Linked DNA regions of Nothobranchius furzeri. The main gene of each other region encodes a partner of the protein of the gene in region 2 in a complex. Links are inferred from orthologs where the notes say so. Each region holds a gene or a part of one and is shown on either strand. Other genes may lie near its edges.

Evidence for each region.
Region 1: ints6 (region 2) and ints9 share a complex: the UniProt entries of both Homo sapiens proteins name them as parts of the integrator complex. The link is inferred for Nothobranchius furzeri from reciprocal best matches to the Homo sapiens genes INTS6 and INTS9.
Region 3: ints6 (region 2) and ints12 share a complex: the UniProt entries of both Homo sapiens proteins name them as parts of the integrator complex. The link is inferred for Nothobranchius furzeri from reciprocal best matches to the Homo sapiens genes INTS6 and INTS12.

What each region holds. Positions count from the first base shown.
Region 1 is NC_091742.1:17,907,516-17,910,756, reverse strand, and holds the end of ints9 (integrator complex subunit 9), read right to left. Parts: intron 2,938-3,241; coding exon 2,770-2,937; intron 2,080-2,769; coding exon 1,981-2,079; intron 1,081-1,980; coding exon 943-1,080; intron 849-942; coding exon 672-848; 3' UTR 569-671; downstream 1-568. UniProt on the Homo sapiens protein: Component of the integrator complex, a multiprotein complex that terminates RNA polymerase II (Pol II) transcription in the promoter-proximal region of genes.
Region 2 is NC_091754.1:31,095,682-31,099,435, reverse strand, and holds the start of ints6 (integrator complex subunit 6), read right to left. Parts: upstream 2,291-3,754; 5' UTR 2,064-2,290; coding exon 1,953-2,063; intron 1,815-1,952; coding exon 1,737-1,814; intron 1,249-1,736; coding exon 1,099-1,248; intron 1-1,098. UniProt on the Homo sapiens protein: Component of the integrator complex, a multiprotein complex that terminates RNA polymerase II (Pol II) transcription in the promoter-proximal region of genes.
Region 3 is NC_091746.1:80,675,393-80,679,057, forward strand, and holds the start of ints12 (integrator complex subunit 12), read left to right. Parts: upstream 1-832; 5' UTR 833-959; intron 960-1,214; 5' UTR 1,215-1,222; coding exon 1,223-1,378; intron 1,379-2,403; coding exon 2,404-2,553; intron 2,554-2,765; coding exon 2,766-2,947; intron 2,948-3,059; coding exon 3,060-3,219; intron 3,220-3,298; coding exon 3,299-3,448; intron 3,449-3,665. Other genes in the region: gstcd (glutathione S-transferase C-terminal domain-containing protein), read right to left, coding at 45-458. UniProt on the Homo sapiens protein: Component of the integrator complex, a multiprotein complex that terminates RNA polymerase II (Pol II) transcription in the promoter-proximal region of genes.

The DNA.
Region 1 (3,241 bases), on a different chromosome or scaffold from region 2:
TAGCTTGTCTGCTAAAGCCAGGTTTATTTGATTTGTGCGTGTTGAAGCAGGGAAAAGGCTAAAACTGGTTACCAGGGCTAGCATAATACTAGATTTGAACATGAAATGATAACCAAGCTGACTTCTACAGACGCTGCTCATTTAAATCAGCAGATGTGGAGCCTATACACCGCTCGCTCATTTCTCTACTGGGATCTGAAACCAAAACCATCACTAGGGTTCTCGGTGACAGACCACAGCATAACCACTGGTTCCTACCGAGGTCTGCAGAACAGCCTCTCTGAGGCACAACATGTGGAACCTCAAACTTGTCTGAGCGTAGCAGAACGCCCACCTAGTCCACTCCGAGACCACATCTGAAGAGCTAGCAGAGTGTCTGTCAGCTAAAACCTGAGATCTACCACGTTAAGAGTCCTGATCTGGTTCAGGAGGAGGGCGTCAGAGAAGAAACGGCTGATGGTCTCTCTTTATGGAGCTTCTCCGTGTGTGTGTGTGTGTGTGTGTGTGGTGTTTTTCTGCTCAACTTTCACTTCTGCAACTCAAAACTTCAGTCTTCTCACAGCAGACACCCCCTTAATGTTGTTTTTAATAGAAAATAAGAAGTTTTATAAAACTAAAACACAAGTGAGCTTCACTCTGCAGGTGTGACCTGCTCACAGTCTGAAACTAAATCAGAGTTTCTGCAGGAAGCGAAGCACCAGGTCCCGCAGCGTGGTGCGCAGCGGCTCGTTGTTGTCACAGACGATGTGCGTACCGTCGTCCTCCAGCTGGATCAGCGTGTCCTCAGCCTGCAGGTGCAGAATGTGTCCATCTGGTGTCTCCTCCACTTTAACCTCCGTGATCCCGTGCTGAAGAGAAAGGTAATCAGAATTAAACTCCCACCAAGTCTGTGCTCAAAGACTTCAGGCAGATAGAAGTCCTGCATTCTCTCTGAATTCAGACCTTCTGTAATGTGACCAGGAAACTTTCCAGGGGCACAGCTCCACTCAGGAGGGGTTTGGGGGCCAAACCCACAGGAGGCTCCTCCACTACCCTCTTCCTCTTCTTGCTGGGGGCCACGGGTGGCGGTTTGGGCACCGACTGGAAACGCACAAGTGGAAATAGTCAGCTGACCTGTGGGGGGGTTTAATGACCTATTATTGCTGCTTTGACCTTCCTGAACCCGAGCCACCGCCGATCACAGCATGAGCCACAGGAAGTGTGTTTCTCAGCAGCAACACTTAGGCGTGGAGTTCCTCAGGGTTCCAGCCTCGTTGTGAATCTGTTCTAAAGAAAAGCGTCTGGATTTCTGAGGCACCAGAACCAGTTTGTGAACAAACGGGCTGCGAGTTCATTTGTTTATTTCCACCTGATGAAGGTGGACTTGAGGTCACAAATCAAATGGACCAAGACTAACGAACCACCAACCTCTTCACAGGTAAGATTACCCTGTAAACAATTACCAAGAGTTTCACATCAATAAAAATAACATTTTTACTGTAGACTAGATTTCAAAGTTCAGAGGGAAGCCATTAAATCAATAAAGTGGATCACAGAAGGACAACTTTCATCTGACACAAGCTAACAGCTAGTTCAACTATGGGAGGAAACACACATGTAGCCACCAGGATTTGAACCTGCAACCTTCTTACTATGAGGCAACAGTGCTACCCACTGCTTCACCAGTTACATGAACCAAGAAGAGCTTTCTGAGATTGGAGTTAGAAGCACACTGGTTTATGGGTAAAAGCCTCATTTATCCGTCTGCCCGTCCAACCCGGAGACTTCAGAGAAAACTAACATTTCCAACTGTCAAGCTAGAGCCTCAAATCAATGTCAGCTCAACGAACGAGAACTGTAAAAACAAAAGTTGTCCACTAGATGGGGCTGTGGCAGCCTAGTTGCTGCACAGCCCCAGCCGTAGAGGTCCTGGCTTCTTCGTGGCCGTTTGACCTTTACGTCCTTCTACTGCAGATATAAACCTGACATTAAAAGACTCACCTGCAGAGTGTGCTTATTGTCCTTTGAGTGCAGCACTGCGGAGACGGTTGCCACGGAGACACCAGGTTTTACCTCATTGGGCGTCAGTGAGTTGGCGAGCTACAAAAAGAAGAATCACCGTCAGCTGAATATTCAACTTTCATATTTAACTGGAAGCTTTTACTTACTGGAGGTTGGTTTTCCTACTTATAACCAGGAATAGTTCTGCTTCTTACTCCGCTGGTTAACACGTTCTCACAAGATCTCACCTGCAATCCGTCATCCGTGCTTCCACAACCTCTAGGTTAGATCATGCTAATTCCATCCTCCTAGGTACTAGTAAATCCTCCCTTGACTGTCTTCAGACAGTACCGAATGCTGTGGCGCACTTCTTAAACACGAACAGACGTAGACGCATCACGCCAACTCTGGCTCCGTTCTCTTCAGGGTTCAGTAGATAGTTCTAACGTTTGTCTACGAAGCCCCTCCTCATCTATCTGAGCTGCTCATCCCCTACGTGCCCACTACATCTCAGAGGTCCGCTAACCACCAGCTCTTATGCGTTCCTGACATGCACTGTGAAATCAGAGCGGAGCGGGCTTCCACCTGACGTGAGGCAGGCCTCTTCGTTCATGATCCCGGTGTAAAGCTGCCCTGGAACCACACGATTTGATTGTTGTAATCGATTTGTTGTGTTCGTTTTCTGATTTGTACTTTATTGTTTTTATGCATTCTGTTTTCGTTGTTCACCCGTGCAGCACGTTGGTCAGCTGCCATGCTGTGACTGGATAATAGGCAGCTGCCAGTTACCTCAGGGAGGATGTAAACGCGCTCGTAGCGGCGTCTGAAGGGCAGGTTGAGTACGGAGCAGCGCCTGTAGGGCATGGGAGGGGGCGTCAGCTCCAGCATCAGGTCAGAGCGATGGGACTGGCTGAGGGGGGGCTGGGTGTACTGCTCCGGACACACCACATGGAGGGGCTGCAGGACAAATGCACACATGAATAAACTCAGACTGGTTTATTAGGCACATGAATGCGAGCTGTTTAATGAGCCACACTTGTGAAGCGCCTTTCAGGGTCAGAGGACTCCAAAGAGCTGTACACTACAGTGCACCATTCATCCATTCACACACTGATGGTGATGAGCTACAGTGTAGCCACAGCTGCCCTGGGGCACACTAACAAGAAGCGAGGCAGCAATACGCCGGCATCCTCTGACCACCACCGGCAGGCAGGGAGAGTTAAGTGTCTTGCCCAAGGACACAACAGCAGAGTTCTCTGCT
Region 2 (3,754 bases):
ACCCTGATGTTTCAGTGAAACTTATCTTGGCTTGTGTTGCTGACTTTTAGGTGAAACTGTAGATTTTCCTAAATATAAAAACTAGAACAAGCTCTCATCTGTGTTAAAGCATTTAACACTCATTATGAAACTTGTTTTCTGCTATTTTAAATTGGATTCAGTCTAATAATTCTCCAAATTGATAGCAGTTCAGCATCCATGTGCCAGAAGATATTAACTTTTAGAACAACATGGAGTCTAAGTTTTCCGGTCGGCTCATGGGTTCCCGGAAGAACAAAACAAAAAAAGAACGCAAGTCCACGGGACTTAAAGAGCTATTTTCTAATCCGCTTTGCTTTACGCCCTGGATCGCACATATGTTGTATTTCAATGAAAAGTATTGATGTGTTTGGATCACGCCTGTCACGTGTTTTGAGATTTATCGTAAATACTAGGACTACAGATCAGACGTCAGTACACCGCATATCGTATATGATGTCATCACAGAATATCCTCTCCCCTAGCGTAGCTGCTACTTCTCACATGGCCAGATTTATAGTAGTTCTTTCCTCCTGAAAGAAGGATTTGACATTCGCAGAACGTACAGCCATTTTTTCTGTTCATGTCTGGTTCGATGTCAATTCGTAATGCGTACTTGTAGTCCTGAACGTTTCACACAAGACCTAAAATAACTTTCGCCCTCGTTTGAAAATAAGAGCTTTCTTGGCATCAAAATGTTAAATTTCACGGATGTCTTGTGAAAACCATACGGGATCAGAAAATAGCATTTTTAGCCTCATTGACTTGTACTCATTTTCTCGTTCTTCCGGGGCCCCGTGGTCCTGAAGTAGATGGGCTTATGCTAGATTTTGTTTCAGAAATATAATCTGGTGCATATGAGATTAGCCTCTTTGCAACCTGCATCTAAGTTTTATGACTAAAAAGACATTTTAAAATTATAGCATGAAACACTGGACTTATAATCGGTCCCTGCTTCTTTGGTAGTTATGTTTGTGTGTGACTGCAGGGGTGTGTTTGGGTAGTAGATGCTTGTAGGACTGGGGCAGGGGAGTGGGGTTGTTGTGGGTGCGTTTAGTACATTTCCAGGGGACTACATACCTGTCCATAGTTGTCTATGCCAGTCACTAATCTATTGAGATTGAGTAAATCAAAAGATGTCCTCAGGGACTGTCCAACAGTGGTGAGTCCAGTAGCTTGGAGGTTCCTCAGCTCTGTCATGAATGTGGCGTGGCTCTCCTTCCACCCAGCCTTTATGGACAAAACAAAGCACGTGATTCATAAAAGCTACTGTTCTGGTCACTAAACTACTTTAAATAACTTATTTCCAGCTTTAATGTGGAAGTATGATGATATTTAGCTGGGATGAAGATCAGCGCCGCAGCCTGGATCCTCTCTGCTGCTGGTGTGACACCAGCTCGGATCACACATGACGATGTGGCACGGTCGCAGCGTGTTCGGGACAAAAGCGGCAATTTTCTCTCTGCTAAAGTAGTCTAGTTGTCCGTCACCCCTCCTCCTCCACCTCCCTCCCTCTCTCATATCACCTCTCTGTATAAATAACACCCAGAGTTCCTTGCTGCTCGCACTGAAATAAAATGTCGGCCATGTTTTAAAAGGGGTATGAAAGCTCCTCCTGGAGATTTTCTCTACAACAATTGATCACAAGGCGGCGGGGAGATGGAGGACAGTCAATCTGCGCAATGTAAAGCTGGACATGACCCGAAAGCAGATTCTACCTTGATCCCGAACGGAGCATCTTCAAAATTTACCAGCATGTACCGGTCCCCTCGGCTCGCCGGATCTCTCCCTCTGAGCTGTGGAAAATAGAGAATGATTTACGGTTACTGGGAGATCTCGGCTTGACAAGGCGAACTTGCAACAGCACAACGATAATCCGAACTAGAATCCCGTTTGGGATCTCCCAACATGAATGTGTCCCGTGGTCACAGTACCTTCATAAAAGTCTCAACAGCGCCTTTTGCTATGTCCAGATAGGTAGTGCCCAGATGGGTGCGCTGGTTCATTGAAGCGGACGTGTCTATCAGAAAAAGTAAAACGGGCATTGTGATGGTAATGACACGTTCTGCATGGACTTGGTGTCAGTACAACCGGCCAAAACGCAAAAAAAATCTTTTGTTCTCCTGCCGCCTGTCTCACCCCTCAGCTAGCTAGCTAGCTGGCTAACTGTCTCACACATTCTTTCAAAAAAGTGTAAGAATAGTGAGTATAGAAGCCCATTCCGGGAAAACTAAGCTAAAAGCCTCGAAACCTTGGGGCAGGTTAATGATTTACGATGGATTTTGATAATTTTTACAATATATTGTAAATATTCCTAAGTTTCATAGTAACAAAGTTCCCCCTCATAGTGACTCCCTGCTTCTCCCTACACTGAATGCGTTGTGTCTTCTCCGTTGCTTTTAAATGAAGCCCCGCACCTGACCCCGCCTCCTAAGCGCTCTTTTTCTGTCACGTGCAATCAACCCAGCTTTTGATTGGTTGAAGGAAGCCACTTATTAACATATCCAAATAAGGCCAAAGCTAGTTCTCTAGTGCGCATGCTTGCTTAACCAAATGACAGGAATGCAGGGAAAAATATTATTCACATACATTTTGTGTTTAGTAACGCGACACATGTGGTAGGAAAAGCCTTTTTGGAACACCCCAGCTGTTTTTCTTTAGCACCAGTTATCAACAGCCTTGTGTTTTGCCCTGCGGAGTGATTGCATAATCAACATTTTCCTCATATATGCACGGGCGTGGGCCAGTGTGAATGGAAACCCATAAAGACAAAATAAAAAGTACAGGCTGAGATGGATGTTGTAAGATTATAACTTAAGGAAGGTAGCCATTTGTTTAGAGAAAAGGAAAACAACACACTGAAATCATGACACTGTGTGATGATCATATAAAAGATTTTAACTAACAAAACGACCAGAAGGGTTATTTTTACAGTTTTTGAACTAACATATAAAAATCAAGACACCAAATAAGTCATTGTGCGTGTACTTTTGAGCTGTTTAAGTTGATTATATGTATAAACAATTATCTGTAGACTACTAGATATATTAGTGTCACCATCCTGTTTATGGTTCACTTTTCATGCCACATGACACTGAGTGAGATAGTGCAGCTCGATCAAAAACATCAACACTTCCGCAAAAACAAGACGAAACCAACCAGTGGCTGTGATCGCAGAGGGAAGGATGGTCTATCTTATTTTTGTCGTCCTATCGCACTGCACATAGTTCATCCGGTTTGTTACTGACACGTTTTTCAAAATAAAAGTAATCCTGTGGTAGGACATCAAAAATTCTTTCTTCAGTCTGCATGGTAGCGATTTTGGTAGCACTGCTGCCTCACAGCATGAAGGTAGGTTCAAATCCTGGCGGTGGCCTTTCAGGTAATACTATTTCCTTCTGTAGGCCTAAAATATGCATGTTAGTTGATTAGCATTTGAAAATGTATTCCTGGGTGTGTTGGACTGGTGGTTTACCTGTGTGTTCTTGTGATGGATGTAGAAAAAGATGGACTGAGACCAGAGTTTCCCCCACAGCTAATGACTGCTGGAGATAGACAACACCAACCTGCAACTAAGGAGGAAGTGGTTTGGAAATGGAAAAAGTGAGGGTAATATTGCTTAGATTTCCAGATTTTGCAATAACATTGTGAAAAATATACAAGCGTTTGCAAAATGTTATCACACGCACGCACAAATTACTGATCCTTTTTTGCGAAATTCTCAACCGAACATGAC
Region 3 (3,665 bases), on a different chromosome or scaffold from region 2:
GATTTCCCCAGACACCCAAAAGCTGACGCTTGTCTCCCACTGACCTCCGCACAGGCCTTCAAGCAGGTTTTTTTGAAACCCAGCAGCTCCAGAACATCCTTCCTGGAAGGGTCTTCCTCAGTGGTTTTGATGATAATGTGCCTGAGCACCACGGCTAGTCCTGCCCTGCACAGGCGCCCGCTCTCATCCACCGCTGCCGGGAGACGGCAGCTCCTCACCAGCTGGGGCAGATCCTCCAGCTGGACCCAGCTGACACCAACAGGCACTGGGAGCTGGCTCCTGAAAGCGTCCGAGCAGCTACTGGTGTAAACCATGAACACTTTGAAGGACTTGCACTCGCAGTATGATAGGAGAAACATAACTATGGACGTGTGCAGGGGGAGACGCAGCTCCTCGTTCTGGGAACAAACCTCTAAGAAGAGGGAGAGATGTTGCTCTTTTTTCTCGTTGTGCTTCATTGTAAATAAACTAGAAGGACAGTAAAACAATCAGTTAGTTTTATCATTGTTTTAGTGTTCTCTGTTGGTACTTTTACGTCTAGATTACTTAAATTCAACATATGACCCAAGAAAAATGACTTACCTGAAACAGGCGGACCGGTGTGTTTTGGTGATTCTTCTTCTGCTGTTTTTTCACTAGCATAGCTCCACAGCGCCGCCAGCGGTCTTCTCAAACGTTTCAAAACTCTCTTCATGAAAGAGTAACACCTATGTACAAAATATGTACCGCAAAGGAAAACATACGTGGGATGAATACTTATTTTATTATAACCAAAATAGTATAATAACCACGCGAACGCGAATACAAATTTCGCAAAACGTTCCGCCCTTGCAGACTCCGGACATATTTGTCGGTTACTCAAATGTGAAGACGAAACGCCGACGGAAGTGTTGCTCAGTTTTCCGTTGTTCAATAGAAAGAAAATATTCCGGTAAAACAGAAAATACACCCAGTCTCGGGTAAGCCTGTGTTTATGATAATTATGAGCTTCAATTTTAGAATTATAAAGCGACCTCGGTAACTACCGCGGTGCTTCTGTGGTTGTAGTCCGTCTTCCTGTTTTTACTCAGAAACCAAATATTTGCCAATGTTTAAAGTCATTCACAGCAGTTGGATCGGTGGGACTCGGCTTATAGGCGCCGGCAGTTCTTTTTACTTTGATGAAATGATACTAATTCACAGCATTACGTGAATTGTTATTGTTTGATTTCTAGTGGAAGCGATGGCTGGACCTGTCAGTTTGGAGCTGGATCCCATCTTCCTAAAAGGACTGAGTTATCTACATTCCAAGAGCAAAGATTCAGCTGAGAAGCTCAAAGCTCTACTTGATGAGTCCCTTGCTAGAGGCAGCGATTCCTCTTATCGCTCTTCACAAAAAGTAAGATAATTCATTCTCATATACACTCACCTAAAGGATTATTAGGAACACCTGTTCAACTTCTCCTTAATGCAATTATCTAATCAATCAATCACATGGCGGTTGCTTCAGTGCATTTTGGGGTGTGGTCCTGGTCAAGGCAATCTCCTGAACCCCAAATGCCACGGGCTACCTGAGCATTGTTTCTGACCATGTCCATCCCTTCATGACCACCTTGTACCCATCCTCTGGTGGCTAATTCCAGCAGGATAATGCACCGTGTCATAAAGCTCCAGTCATTTCAAACTGGTTTCTTGAACATGACAATGAGTTCACTGTACTACAACGGCCCCCACAGTCACCAGATCTCAACCCGATAGAGCATCTGTGGAACGGGAGCTCCGTGCCCTGGATGTGCATCCCACAAATCTTCCATCAACTGCAAGATGCTATCCTACCAATATGGGCCAAGATTTCTAAAGAATGCTTTCAGCACCTTGTTGAATCAATGCCACGTACAATTAAGACAGTTCTGAAGGCGAAAGGGGGTCAAACACCGTATTAGTGTGGTGTTCTTAATAATCCTTTAGGTGAGTGTAGAGAAATCCCCTTAAAGAGCAAGTCACCCCCTACCAGAGTCTTACTCCACTCCCACTTCCTGTTTGAAAAATGCAACAAATGCTGTTACCTGGCAGACCGAGGGGGTGGAGCCACTAACAAATACACACACAGGCTCACAATGACTTTGTGACATCATAATGTACTTCTTAGACAATAGCAATGGCAGAGTTTTTACCTGAAGACGACGTAACACTGACAGTTTTAGGCAGATTATTTAAATTTATCTAAGATGCACCAAAGTGCCAAGTTATTGACTACAAGTGTCTACAGCATGATTAGACACTCATTTATATAGTTTATCAGCAAGAAAGAAATTTGGGGGGGGGGGGGGGGGGGGGGGGGCTGACTTGCTCTTTAATGTCATTCGTATGACATTGTTTTAAAACCAAGTGCTTGTGCCTTCTGTGTGATTGTTTTGTCCTCAGGAGGTGGAAGTGTCAAAGGCATCCGTGTCAAAGCTGAGTTTAAGTAAAGAGCCCAAGTCTTCAAGTTCTTCTTCTGGCAGCAGCGGTGGAAGTAGTAAATCCAGCTCAGAGAAAGGCAAGAAAGAAGGCGAGAAGAGGTCATCAGAGAAGGTGTGGAAGACATTTTTCCAATTTTTACTAATGATCCCAGTAATCTGTGTCGTGTTGCTGTTCAATTGGGAAGTAAAAGTGCACAAATGAATGAAAAGTGCATATTATATAACTCTAAAGCTTTAAAGCAGAATCCGATTTAAATATGTGATCAGGTGTTTTTTGTTTGTGTGATTTAGTCAAACTTCCTTTTGTATTTTGCTGAAAAACAGGCCAGGGTTGACGTGAGCGAAGTGGACCCCCCCAAAAAGCCTCGTTTAGAGAAACAAGAGAACCGCTCCTCTCCAATCACATTTCAGACGAGCAAAGACCTCCTACCAAACATAAACGACTACGACGAGACAAACGCTGACGACTTTGCCATGGAAATGGGTCTGGCCTGCGTGGTTTGCAGGTACGAGTAGCCAATCGTGTAGATTTGTCAGCATGTTATTCCCTCAAATTAATCAGATCACCATTTTAAGCAGAAATTCAGTCTTTTTTTTTTAAATAATTAATTCTCTCAGACAAATGACGGTGACCATGGGAAACCAGTTGGTGGAGTGCCAAGAGTGTCATAATCTCTACCACCAGGACTGCCACAAACCTCAAGTGACTGATAAGGAAGTGAATGACCCACGGCTTGTGTGGTATTGTGCCCGTTGCACCAGGCAAATGAAACGGATGGTGAGGAAAATCAAGTCACGATCCTGCATCACCTTTTTAATGATGAACTAACTTGTTTGTTTGTTTGTTTGTTGACCAGGCTCAGAAGCCTCCTCAGAAACCATCCCCTGCATCTGCATCTTCAGCACCGGTTGTTAAAGACCCGCTGGTGAAAAAGACAGAGCTGAAGGCTAAAACCGATACAACCAGCACCTTCCAGGCCTTCAAGAGGACAGAGGTGAAGGTGTGTGTGAGTATTTTAATTAAAAATGACATCCTCAGTCTTGTTTCTACTAACCAGTAAGGGGTTTAGAGGTAAGAAAAGCAACAGGAACAGTTCCTTTTCTTTCCTTAATTGTTTAGAAGATTTGTTTCTGCGTTTGGATTCAGACAATATGGCAGTTTTAGTGTCAAATATATTCAATCTTATTAGTTTAAGACCTTTTAGGGATCATTTACCAATTAGA